Lonchura striata: one gene and its partners. The protein of the gene in region 3 purifies or fractionates together with the protein of the main gene of each other region. This does not show direct contact. Links are inferred from orthologs where the notes say so. Each region holds a gene or a part of one and is shown on either strand. Other genes may lie near its edges. The genes, in order: CANX, ITGA9 and ITGB1.

Region 1 (8,011 bases), on a different chromosome or scaffold from region 3:
CACAAAAAAATTGCAAGGAGGCAAGAACAGAAAGGCTGAGACACAGATATACATTTTCCCTCTCAAATGACAGTTCTGTTGGTTTTGAGCAAAGGCTCAGCTACCCTACTTGGTAGTGCACTAATTTCCTAAAGTCAGAATTACTGAAGAGCAGAGGAAATCTCTTTTACATCTCACAATCCCTCTGCCTTCCACATCCTGCCTCCTCTGCAGTGCCTGGGTAACTGTTTACACAGCCTCATGATGAACCAGCCGCTGGTTTAAGATGGCTCGAAGTCCTTCTGCCATGTTATTTTAACCCTGCATCAATACCCCAGGCTAACCCAGCAGCAAAAGCAAAGAGTTGTAGCAGTACCAGTGAAAGTAAGTAGCCAGGGATAGAGGAAATAAAGTTGTTGGCAGCTCAATATCACAGTTTCAAGTGCAGGTCTGTCACCTGTACCTGCCTGATTTCTCTTTAGGCAGATTTGGGGGACAGACACTATGGTGCAGCTGAAAACTGTGTGGCCAAATCCTATAATTTCAACAACTAGTACAGGGCCTCAGCACACCTCAAAAGGGGATATAAAAAAATTATGTTCAGGTTCATACAACAACTCATATAATGCAGACAACACTTTTTCTTCTGAAATAGTTTTTCAGATGGACAACTTCCACTATTGAGAAGGTTCTCCCTTTAACATCATAACTCAATGAACAACAGACAAGGCTAAGGAAAACCATGTTACTAACAAGAGAAGAGAGGCAAGAACTCTCCATGGTGGTCCCTCCTACATTTTTTTTTCTTCAGTAATAAGTGGCTGGGATACACTTCTACATGAGGAAGAAGTCTCCTGGAAAGGATTAGCCAAACCTCTTCTGGACAGCCCCACAAAAAAAAGCTGCCTCCTGTTTGGGCTCTAGAGAGCACAAACCAGGCAAGGGATTAGGTGTGAAAAGGGACAGCAACAAAGCTTGCTTTTAATAGGCATTTCAAATATGCCAGTTTCTAAAAATAATGTACAACAGTGCAGACACAGTACAGAAGCAAAAAGCAGATACCGTTTGTAAGCACAGATATCCTTCCTGCAGAACTGGAAGTCCTTGGAGGGTAAGACAGAACCATGAGGCTTTTTGACCTCATAAAACAGATGGGCTGCTGGGAAAATGATATTAGTGGGGGCAGATCTGGAGGGATCCCAAGATCTTTGAGACCATCACACCTAGAAAACAATTCAAGTTTGTCCTGTTACAGAACTGATTCCAACAAGAACAGGCTGCCACTATGACTACTCCCAGAAGCAGAAAGTCAAAGGCCAGAAAAGGAAGTAAAAGGCAGAGCTAAGTACAAGTCTCAGTGTATTCTCTGTAAAGGATTTATTCATTTACTCAGGGTAAGTGCTACAGCACACCACAAGAGAGGGTTTTCCAATGGAATTTGAAAACTTTCTTACTATTTTACACTAGATTCCCTTCCAAGGAGGGCAGCTGATCCCAAAAAGCAGTTTACATATCATACACAGCCTGCAATGCTGCCTGTAAATTGTATAAGTATCTTCTTCATAATGTTTAGTTAAACTAGAAATACTAGAAGTTAATACAAACACATAGTTTTACTCAGACCTTTTCATAATTTTATTAAGTGTTTTGCATAAGCCCATCAAATACAGCCTAATTAACAATAAAGTGGTCTTTGAAGTCAGTGTGAGCCTAGAGTAATATATATATATACCAACCTATATTTAACCATTATTTTATCTGGATTAGCTCATACATTATTATAGTTCTGCTATCTCTTTGCAGTACTTTAGCAACAACCAAAACCACAACGTGCAAGACTGTCCCACAACACCCATGTGATATGTTTACTTGAGGACGTGAAGTCAACACACTACATTTAGAAATACATTACATGCCTAGAGACCAGTTTTCAGACATCTAACATTCTCTAAATAAGTTCCAGAAAGAGTTTTCCACTATGACCTGCAGAACCTCTGCAGCATTAATTATGTTAAGACTGATTCTTTAGGTCTGGACCTTTACCATTACTACTGCCATTAATACATGTCCACTACCCTTCACAATCAAATCACCTGCAGCATTTCTCTTTCTGTAGCCTAGAAAGTTCTGAACCACAAACCTGCATGTGAAAGTTCACACTTTAGAATAGTACAGATAAGAAAGCAGTGTGCTGTACATGCTTTAATTCAATGGTGTGGGTTTTATTTTTCTTTTAAAAGCACACAATACAATCCTCAGCCAGAAATGAGAAGTCATTTATACACTATTTTAAAGGCACCAAATGCAAACAATATTTGAGGGACAAAAATCAAAGCAGGCATTTCAATGCCTTTAAATTCTCAGATGTTCCTACTGCAGATTCGTCGCCTGCACTTCACCTGTTGGGACTCCAGCCCCTCGCCATAAGCTCCCCCCTTCCAGAGGCTTCTCCTTCCCCTCACACAGCCCCAGCCAGGCCCACGCCGGGCTCTGCACCCACCTCCTGATCTCCCCTGCACGGGGAGCACGTTCAAGATTATTTCCGACATGGAACACGTAGCCAGCTAAAACCTAAACCACGCGCTGCCCACATCTACGTGCGACTCTCGCCTCCCTCCCGGTTCCACCACGCGGCCCTAGCGCCAGGCGCTGCCCGGAGCGGCGCTCCCAGAACTTACCAGAAGAGCCGCCGCTCCCCCCAGGCCGCTCCGAGCCCTGCGGGGGCCGGGCGGGACCCGGCGCCGCCGCCGCAGCCCCGCGCCCGCCCCCGGCCTCAGGGGCCTCCCCAGGCCGTCCCTCCCGCCCTGACTGCGGGGGCTCCCCGCGCCCTCCCACCGCCGCGATGGGGCCGGGACAAGCACGGGCCTCCCACCCCCCAGGGCCCAGCAGCGCCCCGCCGCACGCCCCACGACAGGCCGAGCGCCCCCGCCACCGCGGGCGAGGCCGGCTCCCCCGCGCCGATGTTGCGGAGCCGCAGCGGCTGTGGAGGGAGGGCGCGGCCGGCCGGACACACTCACCATCCGCCGCCCCGGCCACCGCCGCCGGGCTGCCCTCACCTCCGTCACGTGCCCGCGCGCCCGCCGCCGCCCGCCTATCTGCCGCGCGCCGGCCCCACCCCCGCCTCACGGCGCTCAGCGTCTCCCATTGGCGGACAGCGCGCTCGTCCGCCCGCCCAGTCGCCGGCTGTGCACTCTGATTGGCTAATGTCACCGCCGCTCAGCAGCCGGCCCGCCTCTAGACACGCCCCCAACGGCGCTGCCCTTCGTGGAGCGCTGTCATTGGTTGGCGGGGTTGCAGGAAGTGCCGGCTGATTGGGTGGGCGCGGGCAGGCCGTTGGGATGTGGGCGGGGTCCCAACGGGTGGCGGTCCAGGGGCGCTGCGGGCGGCGGGGGGCGGCGGGGGCGGGGCCAGCCGCAGCGCCTCGCGCCCTGCCCGCGCCCCCCCATCCCCTCACAGCCTTCACCCTCTGCTCCATAAAATTCCGCTGTGTTAAACAGCAGAGCCATCTTTATGTCTTCTCGTTCTTTAGAAGGGGTGTTCGGGTTTTCTTGCCTATTCAACAAATTCAGTGTATCTGGTGGTCTTTCCCTCTGTTACAAGCCGAGGGTTTAATAAAATAGCGAACAGTGACGCAGACTCCAGCGTATTCGGAATATGGCAGTGCTGCTCAGCAGCTGCTTGCCCAAAGGCCTTGTGCAATTCCGGAACCTTTAACCTGTGCTGTATTTTAAAAAGGAAAGTAACGCAGTTTTGTAGAGGTGAAACACTGTATAAATGTTGAACATTTGTACATCGAATCATTAAAGAAACACAGGGAAATACAGAAAAAAGTGTCCTTGGTGGGCCCATGGGACAGACAGGCCGAAGGAGACGCCGGGTTTGATGGACCATGTGAAGGAGGTCAGGATTAAGCCTGAGGAGTCTCCGTGTCCTGCTGCACACACAGCCGTGTGGGAGGCAGGGAACACGGCCCCACGGTGAGGAAAACAGGCTCTGGTAGCCTGGAAGTTAGAGCACCTTTGTGCTGTCTCCAAGCTGCACCAGCTGAGAGCAGTTCCACAGAAAGCTGGGTCTGAACCACCCTGTTCAAAGCCAGCTCCTGCATGGTCTCTGGGCTGCAGCCTGTTCCAGGAGATAGAAGGTATTCTGCAGGAATAACAAATCCAATATTACTAGAGAAAAGAAAGAAAGAAAAGGGTGGTGGTTTTTTTTTTTTCCTTTGTAAACATAAATCTGTTTTGAGTTGATGCAATGAGTCAGCAGTATAAGTTTCCCCACAGAGAAAATTCCACTGTGTTAGGACAAAGCAAGCAGGGCCTCAGCATTCAGAAATAAGGCTCAGCATAAATGAAATCAGCAAATCCCTGCTTGCACTGAAGTTTGGAATCAAACACATTTTTCCAGAAAGACACCGAGCTGGTTCCTAAACTGCTCTGTTGAGCTATACCCAGACTTAGCAGAAGATGCAGACAGGCAGGGAAACAGTCACAAACAGGCAGCACAGGAGATATCAAATGCTTAAAGAATAACCTAAAAACACTATGGAAAAGTACTTTAAAGAGTAACAAAACAGTATATTTTAGCAAGTGCCCTCCTCAATCTAGAAAAACCCATTTTTCCACCAAATATCTTTCAAGCCTTTTTTTTGAAACAGGTTATTAACTGCAACATGACTGCAGAACAGCATAATACTCCTGCTGAAATCACAGAAGCACCAGGAAGTCAAATACACACACACACACACATGCACACACGTGATTCCCCTTTCTCTCCCACCCTTTCCCAAAAAAGAAAACATTCCTTCCTTTTACAACCTGCTGAATCATGTCACAGGCAGGCAGCCCTGGAGCTGGCTCCTGCCTGTGCTGCTTTGTCATCGAGAAGAAAGGAGCACTGTAAGTTACAAAAAAAAAAAAAAAAAAAAAAAAAAAAAAAAAAAAAAGAATCTGCTAAAAGCATATCTTATGTGGGGATTTTCGAGATGTTTGAACTTAGATAAAAGAAATACAGAATGAACACAACAGAGAGATAATCCAGAAGGAAAGCAAAAGGGATGAGTAAAGGAAACTGAAGAAACATGCACAGAGATTTAACTGCTTTGGCAGCTGAGAAGATGGTATTTTTAGACTCTAGAGTGCCAGGGCAGGGAAGGTGAAAGAAAGAGAATGGCAGATACCACATGGCAAACATGACATTGTCAAGGAAAATAATTTTGGTGTGTTCAGGCTTTATTGCAGCAGATCTGCTTTGTCCCACTGACAAACACACAGGAAGTGTGTTGCTCTCTGACTTTGGCAGTACAGTTAAAAAGGCAGAAATCAGGCAGTGTGGTGAGACTGGCAGAGCCTGAATATGCACACCTCAGAGGTGAGAGGCAATGGTCAGTTTATTAGTGCACTAGAACTGTGTGTAATTCTATTTGTGGGAACTTTCTTTTCCTGAGTGTTATCAGACAGAAACGTCATGTGCTTTCCACTGGTATTTTCATAATTCCCTCTAACTTTATCTCCAAAGTGTTCCTCCTTCCTTAATCCCTTCAGGGCATTGCCACATTGCTAGAGTTCTCCTTGCATTTCAAGCACTAGTAGTACATCTTTTCAAACTCATCTCCTCTGGAAAACTGGCAAGAAACGAGTGGAAAATCCAGCAGGTCAGTGTGACAGGAGGGACACCACACTGGCAGAGAGCAGGCAGTCAAGGCAGACAACCAGTGAGAGTACACTGACTTTTGCTCTTTCAAACTTTGAACTGCAGGAGGGGAGGCAAGCTCACATCACTGTACGGAGCAATGTCCATGTGCTCTGGAATGCTTTCCATGGAAAACACATTTTGTTACAAAGACATCTCTGGGGACAATGCTTGAGAGAAGGATGGGAAAAGATGCATGAACATTATCAGAACAGGGGGAGGATAATAATCTTAAAGGGAAATAATGAAGTCCTACCATTTTCAGAGCTAATAAACATGAATGTAAAAAGTGTTATAAATTAATTGTAATACGATGAAGCAGATAAATAAAAGAAAAAAATCAACAGATAAGTAGTAACTGAGCACTCACACATGGATAGAAAGAGACAGGCAGAGAGCACTGAGGTGGAGGAAGACAATCTATCCACCTGATACCGTTTTCACAAGCTGGGAAGTGTCCCTGAGAACAGGAACTTTACAGACAACTTCTGGGAAGCAGAAATTCAGAGTCACCCGAGACAAGATAGTAGGTGCAGGTTTAGTCTGGACATAAGGTAAGGAAATCTTGATGGTTGTACACACCTTTTCTGGCTGTCATAAGCATTGCACCAGTTTGCTGGGAAAAATCTGGCTTCCACCGTGCCCCTTTCTGCCAGTTCTTTCATGGACCTGGTGTAGATTTGCTTGAGAGCGGCCCTCATATATCCCCAGAACTGTGTCCTCCCTGAGGGTCTCACACTTGAGGCATTTGTATCCAAGCATGGTTGCAACATGTGGACTGGAGTTATTCCCTCACTAGGGAAATACAGGTTACCCTTTGGATTTAAACAGATGAAGGCTTGCCAGAAACAGCAAGAGGCTGCCAACACCGTCCTGTCCTTAGGGCATTAGCAACACCCAAAACCTTTTGCAAAGAAGAAAATGCTCGATCCCCACAGCTCCCTGAGAGGCAGGGCACAGAGAGGGGCTTGAGTGTGATTAGCAGCAAGGCCAAAAGAGAGACACTGTGTTAGAACAGAGTCTTTCCACTTTAGCTCACACGTTTCAGATTCACCAGATCAGAGACTGACAATAGCTGCTCTCCCCCAGCTGCTCATGGATCTGTGATAATTCCTCTACGATAACCTCTTGAGTTGGTACCACCTTGCATGGTACCACTGGGGGCTGTCTGGCTCAGGGATTGTGCTTTGTGTGTTTGGAAGCAGTTGTTTGTTTTGAGGAACAACAAAAAAATCCCAAAAACAACAAAAACCAACCAGACCCAAGAAAGCCCCCAAAAAAACCGCAGAAAAACCCTCACAAACTCACAACAAACAAACAAACAGCTCCCCCCATCAAACAAACAAAAATAAACCATTTTTCAGTGGTCAAGTTTCTGAATGTCTTAACTTTCGACAGTTTCATTGGATGTGATTAATGGCAAATGAAATTCCATTCAATCCCAGGGTAAAAGGAAAGTGCTTAATTGGTGTTATTATTATGTAGAGTGAAGAGGGGCAAGATAAGCAAGGAGGAAAGGAAGGAGTGGAAGGAGAAGAAGGAAAGGAAGGAAAAGAAAGGAAAAGGAAGGGAAAAAAAGGAAAGGAAGGAAAGGAAGGGTCTTCTTCTCCCATAACAACATGTGATTGTTACGAGGCACAATGAGGTCCCGTGGCCAGGATTGCCCAGGAGCCCCCAGCCACATCCCACTTGCCCTTTGGCTTCAGGGGACAAGAACTCTTCCAGCCCTGCACAAGAAGCCTGGGATCTGGAGCCAGATGCAACCCTGGGTTAACTGACCTGGCCTCAGCATCGTGCTCCTCCTCAGCTCTCTGCTTTCCCCACCACAACCTCTTAAAAAACAAGCAAAATCATGGAAGAGTTGCTGCATTCCTGACATGCCATATAAACAGCACAAGGCCACCACCTGGAACCCCTCACCCATCCTAATCCCAATTTACTGAAGTCAATAAACAAGGAATTAGCAGCACTTAACTTAGTAACCTCTCCAGACTGGCCACTCTCCCACTTGCAATCATCAGCTGCTGGAGCTGAAGAGCCTGGATAACAGAAAACATACATTTCAGCCATTTTATGTGTCTGTGTCTGTGTCTTTGTCTGTGTCTAAAAAACCCTCACCACTTTCTTCTTCTAAGCAAGACAGAAACCCAGATGTGGTCAGTACCCTGACCACATGCTGTCTTTTGATCCCTATTTTTTATACTTCCCTACTGTTTTCACTTAAATCTTGCGTGCGGTTTTACACTGAGCCTCTTTCTATTACCAGCGTGCCACCTTCCATGTGGCTTCCTCCTGCGTGCTGGTGTGGCTGTGCTGTGGCTGGTGTTGGGCGCCTGCCCCAGCT
Region 2 (6,971 bases), about 40 Mb from region 3:
GAATCAGTTTTCAAATTATTACCACTTTTTATTTGGGAAAAAATGTGTTGGTTCTTTTTCTTTTTTCTTTTTTAACTTTCTGGGGTCATTTCTTGATTGTTTTTTGAGTTCTTACACCAAGTTTCATAATTTTATATCCAGAGAGCAGAAGCACTTCAGCTTGTCCCTGCTGTAAATGTAACCAGCCACTTGGTTTTGCTGAAAATGGCAATGATGGGTAACTGAGTAAACCTGTCAAGATTTACAGCCATAAAACCCACTTAAGGAAGGAAAAGCAGACATTGTCAGAAATACAATAATCTCAGCACATCTCTATTGAGATTCTCTGATTTCTTGAGACAAGAAAATGTGCAAAAACAGCTCAATGGAACCAACGTTGCAATCAACTATTGCAGAAAATGTCAAAGGCACTGACAGCTCCACTATTGCAGTGGCGGCTGAACAACCAGTTCCCAGTTGTAATTCCTGTGTGCAGCAGCCTGACTATTCACATTTATCTGATGTAAGATTTCATACCAAATATCCCCTCTTCCCTTTTTTTTTCATTCTACATGAATATTTGGCTCACATAAAGCCTGAAAGAATCACCAAACCCTGAACCAGCTTAGTGGAAACCCACAGGCCTAAGGTAGGCAATACAGACAGGTGCCTTTGTGGTCTTGGAAAACAAAAAGCTGAAACGTGGAAGATGTGGCCATGAGAGATACCATCTTAATATAAATTGGTGACTATATATATAGACACACACACACAAGTATGTTCACACACACCAGCGCACAGACGAGGCTACGGAAAACAGGACAGCTCTCATGATCAGAAGTACATTAGGTGAGTATCAGGCTCACAAGCAATGAAGACCAAGAGTTCCCTGAATACCTTCAAATTCTTGAGAGCATATTAAAATAATAAATAACTTTAGATGGGCTGGAGCCCTATCAGCCTCAGACTAGATCAATCACATTTTTGCAGACTCGGATAGTGCTAAACTCACTGGGCAAGCCTTCAATGCCCAAAATAGCACTGTCTAAAGTTAAATTATTTTAACGACTTCCCATTGCAGTGTACAGACCCAATCAACATGAGAAAACTGAAACAATAGCCCTTCCTTGGGTATATAAAAGTCACAAGAAGAAAGAAAAAAAAACTTGACACAAATAATAACCCTGACTCTTAAGAGCAGCTTCTTCAGCAAACTGGAAGGAGGCTGCATATACTTTTAAGAGATTCATTATTGACCTTTAGGATGCACACACGCATTACAAGCACAACTGCATATAGCACACTAGAATCAAGGTGAGTATAAAAATACCATGAATCAGCTCCATTTTCAAACAAAAAAAAATTGAATTTACATAACTGGGGATTTTCATTTTGAGCACCAGACTTCTAACAGATCCCTGCCTTCAGACAGACACCCAACACTTAAAGAGTCCAGCATGTTTCTAAATGAAGTGGGGCTAGCACCAAGAGCCCGCTCCCTAGTCCACCTTCCCTTCAAAAAATACCACACCAGCAGGTGCTATATGAAGATAATTCATATTATCAATCAGAAAGACAGATACCTACATAAGAAGCAAAAAATTCTACCACTTTTTCCCCACCACACTGCAGTAGATCAGCATTTCAGTCACACCACTGAATCCTCAGCAACTTGTGTTGAATAGAAGTTCCTTTCAGCTTTTGCACCCTTCATTGACTCTTGACCTAAGTTAAGCACTGCTTTAAACTGAGAGCCTTTCTTCTCTCAGGGTGCTTTTCCTCTATGAAATCTTCTTATATGTCCTTAAAAATGAATACTCCATGAAAGCCACTATGGAGAAAGGCAGAGCATAGAACTACTTGTGAAATAAAGGGTGTGAAAGAAATTAATTTTTAAAGAACTGTATGCCAGAGAATGAATACATTTATTTAAAGCACAGTGCACCAAAGTTCCAACATCAATAGCTGAATATCTAAGTACAAAAAGATAAAGACATGCTTTGTGGACGCTTACTGGCAGCAGTGGCTCCTACTCACATTAGAAGGGCACCAGGCGACACCAGCTAGGTCAAATTAAGAGCAATCACTTTTAATTCTAACAAAGAGCCTCTAACCCAGACAACAAACAGACTATGGTCCAATGCTCTTTTCAACCACCGGGAAAACAAGAAGCTTGCCAGTTTCACAAATTTTTGGATGTAGATAAACTTTCTTTCTTCGGCCTTCTTTTTTATTTTTTTTTTTTAAGTTACACAGACATTTCCTCTACGATTTGGAAGCGTCTCTTCAGCCTCCGAAGGAATTTTGTCCCAGCCAGGCAGAGTGCGGGTAGTTTGGCTTCGTGGACGCTGAGTGTGCTGCTCTCGGTGGAGGTTACCGCTATTAGAAGCACTTCCCATTAACGCGGCAAAAACCATCATCTTTCGTACCCCGGGCGCTTTTTCGTACGCAGTCAAGTCGGTGAGCTGCTAAATATTTCCTGCGAGGAAGGGGGATCGAGCACAGCGCCGAGACATCGGCCGCGGGCCGGCTGGCGCTCGAGGACAATTAGGTCACAATGCCAAGCGCCGGCTGCCAGCCCATAAAGAACATCCCCGCGTTAAAATGCTCCCAGCGCGGAGCCCCACAGCTCTGCCTCCACCGCACCCCAAAGAGGCGGACCGGGCGCGGGGAGAGACCGCGGTGCGGGGCGGGGGCGGCTGCCGGGAGGGACGGTGGAAACCCGGGCGGCGACCCCCGGGCCGCATCCCCGCCGCCGCCCGCGCCTCGCCCATCCCGGCGCGCAGGGCCGCGCTACTCACCACCGCGTGCTGTCGTGGTAGTGCTGCAGCACCGAGTACCCGAAGAAGGAGCCGTTGGGACCCCGGAAAATCACGGGGCGACCCACATCCACGTTATAGCAGCGCACCGCGGCCGCCCACAGGAGCGTCCACAGCACCCGTGCCCCGCGCCGCCGCGCCTCCGGCATCGTGCGAGTCCCGAGGCAGCCGCCCGTACCGGCGCCGCTAAGCGCTGAACTCGGGCCCACCGACCCCACCCTGCCCCGGCGCCGACTCCAAGGTGGCGTGTGCGGGCGCGGCGCTTTTGTGCCCGCCCCGCGCCGCGTCTGGGCCCGGCCCCGCCGCGCCCCGCGCCGCGGGCACCGCGCGCCCCTCCGCCTCGGCCGGCCGAGGCGCCGGCGCCCCCTGCCGGTCCCGGGCGGTACCTGCCGCGCCGCGCCCGGCCCCGCTGCCCGGCCCCGCTGCCCGGCCCCGCTGCCCGGCCCCGCTGCCCGGCCCCGCTCGCCCGGCCCCGCTCGCCCGGCCCCGCTCGCCCGGCCCCGCTCGCCCGGCCCCGCTGCCCGGCCCCGCTCGCCCGGCCCCGCTCGCCCGGCCCCGCTCGCCCGGCCCCGCTCGCCCGCCCCGCTCGGCGGTCCCGCTGCCCGGCCCCGCTGCCCGGCCCCGCGCGGCCCCACAGCCCCTCCTCGGCGTCACTCTCTTCCACACACCGCCTGTCAGCTACGGCTTTCTTTCATTTTTCCGCCTACTCCCCTTCTCGCGCAGCCCCTCCCCCGGTCGGCGCCTGGAGGGGGAAGAGGGAAATCACAAAGTTTAGGGCAAAGACGTGGAGGAATCAGTCCTGACTTCCATTAGTTTGAGGCTACCAGCCCGGCTGGGATCTGGCACGCGGAGGGGAATGCTTCGCGAGTGACAGATGGAAGATCTGATTTGCATCACGCAAAAGCACGGGAGATTTTCTTGGGAAAAGGAAAGCCATGACGAGAGGCAGTGTCTTTTTTCAGGGTAGCAGAAATGAAAATACTTCGGGTAAAAAAATCAGACGCAGTGTTTTCCGGCAAAAGTACTTCAGGTCTGAAAAAGAAGCAGCAACTTTTGTAGCTCGGTAAAAGCTGAAAATAACTGTTCTAAAACTTGAAAAGTTTGACAATCTGAGAGCAAAACTAATCAGTCAAACATGCACTAACAGATGAGCAAGAGCAAAGGCAAGAAGATACTCTACTCCAGAGGATAAGACAAGGGTGATCATCACTCTGTAGGAAAGGGGAGGGGAGTTAGGTGCTAAGAAAACCTTTGGGCCCACAAAGCCCATCCTTTTATTAAAGTGAAAAGCAGTATATTTTAGTGCTCAGGATTCATTTGTTTAGATACTTTTTGAGGATCAAGCCCAGAATCTCACAGATAATTGTGACTTTCATATGTTTCTGTTAGCCTTGGCTTTGACTATTTAATTCAATGTATATCCCTCATACATAAGAAGGTGCACCAGGAGAAGCAGAGTAAGTACTGGGAAACGCAAGAATAGAAGAGCCAGGAACTCTGATACAACAGGAACTGCCACTTGTGGCAGGTCACTGGAGATTTGCAGCCAGGTCAGGTACCTCTTGCATATGCACACAATGATTAATGCGTAATTTGCTTCTGATGACATCAATGATCTCCAGAGAAGACTGCTGAATGTTGAGGCTCTTGGAGAGCTGTCATGGAAAAACACTCTTGCAAGTTAAATCTTTCAGAGAATGAAGTTCCTGATGAAAGAGTAATTCTTTTTCTGTAAAAGGTTTGCACCAGGATTTGTTTTTGGTGAGGAGTTTCAGTAAGCTGTTTCATAATATCCATGTGGCTCTTTCAAATGCATAGCCTGTTTCTGCAAGGGAGCATCCTCACCAGGAAGAAGATTGATTGTAATCATTGCTTTTGAGCATTACCCTCAGAGCAAGTGCTCTGGTGACACATGTACATATTGCTGTTTAGAAACTGACATTTTTGATGTTGACTGTGATGCTGGAACATTAATAGAGAAAATTTCATGGACAGGTTAAATAGAGAAGTAAAAATTACACAATTTGGTGGTGAAAAAAAAAATAGAGGAATGGATGTTTCCAGTCACCAAGTTGTTTTATATTGGCTTTGTGCAGCTTAGCGGTATACTTATTTAGTGTGCTTGTTCAAGGTGGCTTGGGAAAAGGTTGGATTAGTGTGAGTCTTCCTTCATCTAACTATGACCAGGGTTACGGAGAAGTGAAAATTTTTCAGTCAAATCTCAGTGCCACAATGCTCACTATCAAATAAAAAGGGAAAGTCACTTTATCAGTAACTTCAGCCTTAGGTATATTATCAAACTGCAAGAATTGATTTGTTTATTGGCGCATCAAGTGAAACAGCAAGGAATTTATGTCATATTAGCAGGGAGATTTATAACATTTAATAGAAAGATTTTCACAGGGATTTTATAACAGTGCAATCAATATGGATAAAAGTAATCTGATTTAGGCAGAAAATCAATACGCCTCAATTAAGCAAATTCCACAAATGACACGCAATCATTAGCACAGAAAGTCACATCTCTGCCTTTTGAAGCAAGAAAGTGTTGGGGGTTTTCAGTTAATTACCTGGGCACTAAATGGTGCTCAGGCAATTCTCAAACCAAGTTAAAAGAAATGTGGATGATATGCTAGAGAGAGCAATGTGTTCATCCTTCTCCAGAGGGAGGAGGGAAGCAAAGCAACTAGGCGAGGTGAATGAACACTTGTCTTTCTTGTTGTAGAGTGCTCTTGGGAGGACTTATTTCAACTAGAAGTGATACATACAAAATTTTGTCAGTCCATAAAAATGTCAGCTCTCCATTCTTTGCAAGGAAGGGTATCCAGGGAAAGGCTAGGAATATGGTACTTCCATCCTTTTTCTTTTATTGCACATCTAAATACCGAAGTCATCTCACAACATTTAATTCAACAGGAATTTTGTCAGTCCAAACAGAAACAAACAGAAACTGTGTGTCTCAATGGTGTAGATTTAGCTGATAAAATTCTGGCATGCCATCTATGAAAGCAATGGGACATCCAAATGCAGTGACAAGGACAATAATAACGTACAGTTAAATAAATATTACGGTAAAACTAAGTGATGGTAGAACCGTGTTCTCACAAACACAGAATAATACATTAAATCATATATCACAGAATTCCCTCCTCACTGAACCCAAATCCTGGTCCAAACCCTGTGTGAAAGAACCACTAAAACCAGGAATAGCTATATAGCACTTCTATATATCTATTCTGTCTGTGTTAGCTTTGATGTTTGTATAATCTAGAGAAGCTCCATACCTGCACCATAGGGCTAATTTGTACTTTACACCTACCTATATTAATTAAACACTGTATCTTGGCAAGACTCTGTCTCCAGATTAGTTTATAAATTAGAAACATTATCTGTAAATTGAGAATCAACAGTGAAGTAGCACCCTTGACAGTACTGTCTAATTAATAGTAGAGCTTAAGGAAAAAAAGTCCAATGCAATAATGTTGTGGCTGTGGAAAAAAAATGAAAATTAAAACAAATGCCCTATGTCTTCATTGGTTAAGGATTCAGCTGTGTAGAGATTCCATTCATCAAGAGTAAGCATTAACAGATAAATTGTCTTCTTGAAAGCTTCTCTGCCCAAATTATATATAAAGATAAATTTGTTCCTGTACTGCACATGGTGAACTCAACATTGGTTTCCTTACTTTTACCAATACCTTACTTAATTCTTCACATAACTGTACTTATCATTTGCCTTTCTTTGCATTTGTATCGAAGTCGTGCTGAGGCTGGAATTTTACCATCTGTTTCAAAACACTTTTTATGCACAATAAACTTCATTTTCACTTCCCACAGGCACCTACAACCTGTAAGCTGTAAGCTTATTCAACAATCTTTTTTTAAGCCCTACTTGTTTGGGTGCAGATTTCTCTTCCTGGCCCTCAGCTCCCTCCTTCTTGCTCTTAGCCACAGTTGGGGAGAGGATGTGCTGCTGAGTGGGAATGGAATGACACCTCCTTCTCCCACCCTGGCATCCATCAGCCAGGACATGGTAACAATGAGAAGGCATCCCATAATTTCATTAATAAAGAGGCTGCTGCCTCTCTTCATCATTATTCATACATTTATGTCAGTACATGCTCAGTATTAAGGAGGTTTTAACTGAACTTGTGTTAAAGGTTTCCCATTGCA
Region 3 (7,222 bases):
TTACAACAGTCTGTCTTACATGGAAGGGGTACAAAACACACTCGGAAAGGAATGAGGAGGAAGAGAAAGATCAGGTATACCAGTGGCCAGCAAGCTCCATCCAGCCTTCCTCCACATATCCACTCTCCACACCACGTGAGGAGAACTACCAGAGAAAGTAGCACAGTCACACATCCACCTCCTGTGCAGCAGTGACAGGGACACAAGCAAAGGCTGCACCTGCATCATGAGCAGGTCCACACTAAAGACACTCAGGCCTCGGACCATGTGCAAGAGAGGAGCAACAGGGACTCTGCAAGGCTGTCCACTAGAAGGAAAGGGAGCCTCATGCAGAACTAGAGCCTTTACTTACCAAAAGGGTCCCATCAAGACAAAGTACTTAACAGCCTGCTGAGCAATCACAGCTGCAGTACCCTGTCTCAGTACCAAGAGCCACAGCCAAGCACGAAGCCTGCAGCAGACTGATGAGAAGCTGGCTAAGTGTGCATCACATCACTCAGCTAAATCGAGACTGGGTGGAAAGGCAGGCATGACAACTATTTACAAACAACTGACGGGCACTCATACCAGCAGCAGCAAGGGAATTATATTCAGGGCAAGGGAGACCACAGCATGTGCCCACCCCATGTGTGCACGGCTCTCCCCAAGTTCGCCTTTCTGCTACCCCAGTTATCTACTTCCTGAGCTGCTGCTACAGCAAACAAGCTTTTTTCATATCTGAACTACAGCAGAACTACCCAATGAGAGGTAGAGAGAGGATGGTTTAGAGAGAGGAATGAAATCATGAATCAGGAAGAAAGAACAGCAGGAAAAGTTCTCAGACAGTTTTTTTTCAGCTTTGGGAATCACTTCCCAAAGGAAGCGGTGTAAGGCTAACCGCTTGAGTCATTTAAAATACTCAAGACAAAACACTAAAATTCTGCACTCCCATCAAAAATTCATGCACATTCTTAGAGCAACAAGCATCCCTCCAAATCAGTCCTTTACAAGGGTGGGCATTACTGGGGACATGGTACAGATCAGACAACTGAACAGAGAGAACAGAATGAGCTCCCTGGCTGCACCCACAGAGAACAGCGGAGTTGTAACTGCTGACATTTCATTTTTAAATAAATATGGTTCATTTATCATGTGGCTGGCAAACAGATACAGCACTTCGCAGCTCCAACTTTGGTTAAGGTAAGATTATGCATGCCTGTCAGCTTTTAACCTTTCAGCTGAAACATCTCTGAAAAGGACAAAAGTTGAAGGTGTTCACATCTTAAACTTGTCTTGTCTTGCCAATCTATTGCCAATGGCTCACTGTTTTTGCAATCCTTATAAATAGAGCCTTAGGTGAGCTTGCAAAATGCTACTTAATCATTACCCAGAGGCAAGTAATATTTTTTTGTGACAGAGAATGAATCATTGGTTTCATCGCTGGGACGGATGTGGACAATGAATGTCTTTGCTACTCTTAGTCTTGTTTAATTTAGTCTAATTTACATCTTTTTAGTAGTATAATACTACTTTAAAAAGGCCCATACAAACAACCAAGAACAACAAAATCCCCTCACTGCTACCAAGCTGCCTCATTTCTCAAAACTTTTCTCACACTGCCACCATCACCTACCAAATGATCTGTGTGCCAGGAGTACAAGTTATTTAAATCTGTTTCCACATACATAACGTCCTGCTTAATATCAACACCTCAGCACACAAGGAGCATTGACTGTGAGTGGTTCTACTAATCTAAATGGAGACAATCGTTACTCCTAAAGGTTTGTGTATCTTGGCAAGAATAGAACTGTAGCAGTGATGGCAAATCTACCAGAAAAATCAACATTTTCACCCAACAGCTATGTGCACATGTGCTGGCATGAATGGACTGTTGTATTCTATCAAGGACAAATGAAGACGCAAACATGAACGCTCATCAACTTCTTTTCATAAACAGTCACAAAAAGCTACCTAATGAGTTTAACAGGCAGACAGATACTTATTCCATAACATAAACACATCTGACATGGGCCTGTGAGTCAGAATGAATTTCTCATTGCTCCACGTTTCCTTCCAACAACCAGTAACTGAAGGCAATAATAGGAGACAAAGCATTGCACTACTGCTGTAAGATTTTTCAGAAATCCCCATGTGGGACATGGCATAGAGGCCTCACATTCCCACTCCATCCCGACACGAGTTTATAGCAGGCTACAGAGGCTCAGAGCCAGCTGGACGGCTCGAGCAGCCAAAGGCTGCACTGCGACCATCCCGTCATTCAAACCGCGCACACGCCGCTCTCAGCGCTCGCTTTCTGCAGGTATGTGCGGGACAATCCCCCGGGTACTCGAGTTCCCGCACTGCCTCACTCCTTTCGTTCCCATTCCCGTAACTCCGGCGCCCGCTTCCCGCGGGAGGCACCTTCCCCCTGCGGACGCCCGCCCTCGCCCGACTCCCGGGAAGCCGCCCGAAACTTTCCCAGCCGAGCGCTGCCCCCGTCCCGGGCACCGCCGGCGGGAGGCGGCGGCCGGCACGGGGCACGGCACAGGCACGGGGCTCCGGCGCCGCCCGGGGTAGAGCGCTGCCGCCCCGCCGCCGGGGCAGGGCCGGCCCCGGGCGGACAAAGGCCCGGCCGGCCCCGGCGGCACGGGAGGCCCGCGGCCGCCGTCCCGCCGCCACAGGAAGCCGCAGGCTGGGCCCGGCACCTTCCCGCCCACAGCGCCGGGCGGGCACGGCGGGAGGCGGCGCCCCCTCCTCCGCCCGGGCCGGCGCCGAGGCACCGCACACGGGGCGGCGGCGGCTCCCGGCGCGGGAAGCGGCGCCCGCAGCCGCCCGGAGCCCGCCCGAAGCGCCGAGCCCCGGGGCGGCCGCAGGCACCGCTCATCTCGCTCCCGGCCGGCTGCGACCCCCGCCCGTCCTCCCGTTACCTCGGCCATGGCTCCGGGCAGCGGGCGCGCTCCGGCCCGCCCGGCTCGCTGCGGCGGCGTCCGGGGCTGGGCTGGGCAGGGCTGGGCGCGGCGGGACGCCCGGGCTCGCTCCTCGCTGGCTGCCCGCCGCCGCCTGCTCGGAGCTGCTGCGGGAGCCCGGCCCGCGGGGGAGGGGAGGGGAGGTCCGCGCTCCGCGCTGCCCGCCCCGGAAACACATTCCTCCCCGCTGCCGTCAAGCGGGCCGGGGAGGCGTCTGCGGCGCGGCGGCAGGGACGGGAGAGCCGTGCCTGAGGCGGGGCTCGGTGCCCGCTTCCCTCCCGCTTCCATCCGTGCCGCCCGCCAGCGCCTTATTTGGCGGGGTTTGCCGGCGGCTCGGCCGGCCCCGGGCTGGGCCGGTGGGCGGGGACGGGCCGGGGCTGCCCCGCGGCCCGCTCGCTCCCGGCGGTGCGGAAAGGCTGTTCGACCCCAGCCCTTTTCCAGAGCTCTTCCCCTGCTCCGCTCCCTGCCTGGTTCCACGCGCGGTCACAGCCGAGGGGATCCCTGCCCCTCTTGCTGGCAGCTGCTGCCAAGAGCAGTGGAAGTCACTGAGTGATGAGTGCGTTTGTCCGGTGCTACACTCGCTCCGAGCTAAAAAGTCGCTTTCCCCGAATACCTCGGCCGGAGCCTGCTGGTGTTAGGAGCATGCTCTTGGTATTTTAAAGTGCCCCTTAAAATAAGTACTTGGGAAATTACCGATTAAAAAAAAGAAAATGAAAAAGCGTGCCTTTCGACACCTTATTGAAGGTAAAGTGTTGGGAAACAAGCTATCAACTCACAGCTCAGAGCTCTAAGCACTGTCTTTATGTGTGGCTACTGGAGCTTGAGTCAGTTCTTGGTTTTGTATGGTTAACTTAACCAGCAGTGCTGCGACTTGTTTATAATTTTAATCACTTTTCCCCTGCTTGCTTTCTAGCTGCATTTTGGAATAAGAAAGGAATGATGTTTCTAGTTTACTCAAGTGTGGCCTGTGATTCAACCCCGTGTTCCACTTGGGCAGTGCAGTGGTTTAGGGCGCAGTCTCCTAACAGCTGTTTTAGCAGAAGCTTTTAGTGCTGGTACAGCTGTAATTGCAAAACAGTTCTAGTGGTGTTGGAAAATGAGACTGAAATGACAGACTACTGCTCCAAGCAGCCCCATCAAAAGCAAGCACTGGATAAATGAAATGGTAGTTAAACAACTTTGACACTCAGAGATAAGGACAGCAGGAACTATATGTTTCAACAGGTAAATTAATATGTAATATTAATAGTGCCAGGAAAAATGAAAGCCATCAGAAAGCCAAAGTTTTAAAAATTGTAAAAATTAATGCAAAGTAAAAGCAAATGCCGGAGGGATAGTGGTCTGCAAAAAAATGTGGGAAACTTGAGTACTGGGCGATAAAAATTAGTTTTATGCAAGGTATTCTTCTCTGCTTCTTTATTGCAGAGAGAAAAAGCACATCTGGTGCTAATTATGACAAGGTTGTGGATTTTGATCCTTGTATGGGCCATTCACTTAAAAGATGGACTCGATGATCCTTGTGGGTTTCTTCTAACTCAGAATATTCTGTGATTTTGCCAAAATATGCAAATAGTGAGCAGCTGTCCACTATACTGTACTTCAAAGAAGTGGTGGAAAGATGTGCTACTGAGATCAATTTGGCTCTGAAGACTAAATAAAACTGCTCAACAGACTGGTTCAAATGCTACCCAATGCTCTGCTCAGATCTTATTGTGTCAAGTAGCCAGTGGCTGGCTGTGCTGTGCAATAGGAAATCAACAGGAAAAAGTCTCACAAAATGGCTGAAAAAAAATCCACTGAATTATTTGGCTGCTTTCTGGTCTCCTTTGGAGAGCACAGATGGGTATGAAAATCATGAGTTATTTTCCAACACTTGTGAAGTACTAAAGATGCCAGAAAAAAGAAAAAAAAAAAGAGCTGGAGGTATCTGAGCCAGTAGACACAATTATAGGTGATGTCAAAATGTTTAATGTAGTGTTTCTGTACTGCAGTGTACATGACATCTGGGAGAGTGAGCAGTTTTGCACAGGAGGGCTCAAGAAAAGATGGGTTTTCATGGACTGAGTGGGAAGCTGGGAAGTGTTTGGTTAATTCTTATCTTGCAGATACAGATTTTATAACTTTTACACAAACACAAATCCCAAACCAGGTTTTGATGTGTCCAGTGCTGCTTTTGTAAAGAAGCCAGCTGTGTAAATTGGGGGTGCCCAGCTGCAGCTCCAGGGCTGGAGCTGAATATCCCTGTGCCAGGCAGCTCTATTGCAATCCCTCCCAGTGCCTGGCTGGGAACCTCTGGAGTGAGGGGGCCACTTGGGTACCTCAGGAGCCACTGCCTCCAGAGAAGCAGGAACTGGTTGGTAGGAGAAATTGCAGCATCTCCTAACCAGTTATCAGGGTATTTCCTTGGCTGCAGTTTCCCGTTTGCCACATGTTGCTGCCAAGCTGCTGAACTCTGACTTACTAAAGCCCACACAGCCAGGGAGCTGTCAGCCTGTTCTCCAGCATCTTCTTCACTCCTGCACCTTGCAAAGGGTTTAGAGGGAGATATTTTTCAACTGGGGCCTCAGTGATAAGAAACACAGGATGTGTTTTAATGTGCATGGTTTGCGCATTAATACCCAAATGCAAATGCCTCTCATCAGGGCACCCATTAGGCAACTTTGTAATCTCACCAGCCACTAAAACTTCTATCTTTACTTCTTTATAGTGTGCTAGGTATCTCGCTCACCTCTGCCCCAGGGAGCGATAATTTATCTGTACTGCTCCACTTCCCCAACAAACTTTGTTACTGACAGCAGAGTACTTTCCCTTTCCACCCCTCTTCTTTTCCTTCCCTGCCTCTTCAAAATGCTTCTACCCTACTAGATAGATAAAGGGTGGGAGAGAAAAGAGGAAGTCAAAGTCATTTTCCCAAGGATAGCAATGAAGCCAGCAAAAGAAAGCAGGTCTCCTGGGAACACATCAGACTGCAGCCACCTGGGCTGAGCTGGCTGCGGGAGCACCCAGTTTTCCTGGCCTGACCTTGGAGCAGAGCAGCAGCAGCTTCAGCCGCTGTTTTATTCCAGAAGCAGCTGTGCAGTCACCAAGGGGCACAGTGAGCACTGAGACCTCACTGGCAACTGGTCAGCACTGGGCTCTGGCTTCCAGTGTGGAGGATGAGGAGGTGTTAGGGCTTGGACACAAGATTCATAGAGAAAGTATTATTAGAAGGGTCACTTAGTACAGGAAGTGATGGTGCTAAACGGTTGTGTCATTGCTTTAGATAACAGCCACTATTTGGCTCCTCATGAGGAATGAGCAGCACTTCTCTGCAGGCAGCCTGTCAGACCTGTACAGTGTGCCCATGGTATGGAATGCTGTGTTTACACTGGAGCCATGTTCTCCTGCTCCACACAAGGAGTGAAGTGAGTCACAAATGTTCAGCCAGGAGATTGCCAGAGATTGTATCCTGTGGGCAAAGGTTTGCTTTGAAGGATTGTCTGCCTGCTGTTCATGGGAGCAATGTGCAGCACTTAGGTGCAATAGAGCTGATATATTAACACCTGGTTTATGATCAGTGCTTAGATCTCTGCTTTGTTCAATCGACAGTCCTGTGTTTAACATGAGCCTGAAAAGGTCAGAGTCCACCAAGCCCTTCCTTCAGCTCACCAGCATTTAAAAAGCAACTTGTGGCTGTCAGGAAAGAAGAAAGGGGAGGTCACCATGGCCCTTCTGGTGGGACTCTGCCCTTGCTGGCACAGAGCAGGCTGCTGGAGCAGAGGGACTGGGGGACAGCTTTTGTTACAGCTGCACTGTGCCTTCTGATGCTTCCTCTGACTCATTTTCTGCACTTCCTTCAGCTGAAGAGCTGCTCTTCCCTCTTGTGTGTATGTTTGGGTAGGCTGAGCTGTTGCTGTTAAAATCCCTGCTGCCATTAGCATACACATTCCTTCTCATTTGCCACATGGACTTAAATCTTCCAAGGCACTTTTGTGGGACTCCTATGTCATTGTGAAGAGGGTCTGTTTTATGCAGAAATTCTATAAGATATTTTGATCCTCAATAAGCAAGGCAGGAATCCTTTTTCCTCCTTGGGCATGAACTACAAGTTGCTCCTATGTTCCAAAGTAAAGAAGTGAGCAGGAGTTAAGTGAAGAGACTAAAGTCTTTGAGATTTATGTTCAAGCACTCATACTCATGATAACACAGGGCAGAGAACTTCTGCACCAGCTCCTTTTGTTGCTTGAAATGAATAGTGTTTTCTAGAGAACTAGATCTTAAAACTTCAGGCTTGAAGA

The links.
Region 1: the proteins of ITGB1 (region 3) and CANX purify together in Homo sapiens (affinity purification with mass spectrometry; 3 studies listed by BioGRID and IntAct, with this or other methods). This does not show direct contact. The link is inferred for Lonchura striata from reciprocal best matches to the Homo sapiens genes ITGB1 and CANX.
Region 2: the proteins of ITGB1 (region 3) and ITGA9 purify together in Homo sapiens (affinity purification with mass spectrometry; 3 studies listed by BioGRID and IntAct, counting the BioPlex papers as one, with this or other methods). This does not show direct contact. The link is inferred for Lonchura striata from reciprocal best matches to the Homo sapiens genes ITGB1 and ITGA9.

What each region holds. Positions count from the first base shown.
Region 1 is NC_134617.1:6,815,203-6,823,213, forward strand, and holds the start of CANX (calnexin), read right to left. Parts: upstream 3,087-8,011; 5' UTR 3,000-3,086; coding exon 2,997-2,999; intron 1-2,996. UniProt on the Homo sapiens protein: Calcium-binding protein that interacts with newly synthesized monoglucosylated glycoproteins in the endoplasmic reticulum. It may act in assisting protein assembly and/or in the retention within the ER of unassembled protein subunits.
Region 2 is NC_134603.1:102,418,534-102,425,504, forward strand, and holds the start of ITGA9 (integrin alpha-9), read right to left. Parts: upstream 3,074-6,971; 5' UTR 2,948-3,073; coding exon 2,781-2,947; intron 1-2,780. UniProt on the Homo sapiens protein: Integrin alpha-9/beta-1 (ITGA9:ITGB1) is a receptor for VCAM1, cytotactin and osteopontin. It recognizes the sequence A-E-I-D-G-I-E-L in cytotactin. ITGA9:ITGB1 may play a crucial role in SVEP1/polydom-mediated myoblast cell adhesion.
Region 3 is NC_134603.1:142,822,720-142,829,941, forward strand, and holds the start of ITGB1 (integrin beta-1), read right to left. Parts: upstream 3,066-7,222; 5' UTR 2,916-3,065; coding exon 2,907-2,915; intron 1-2,906.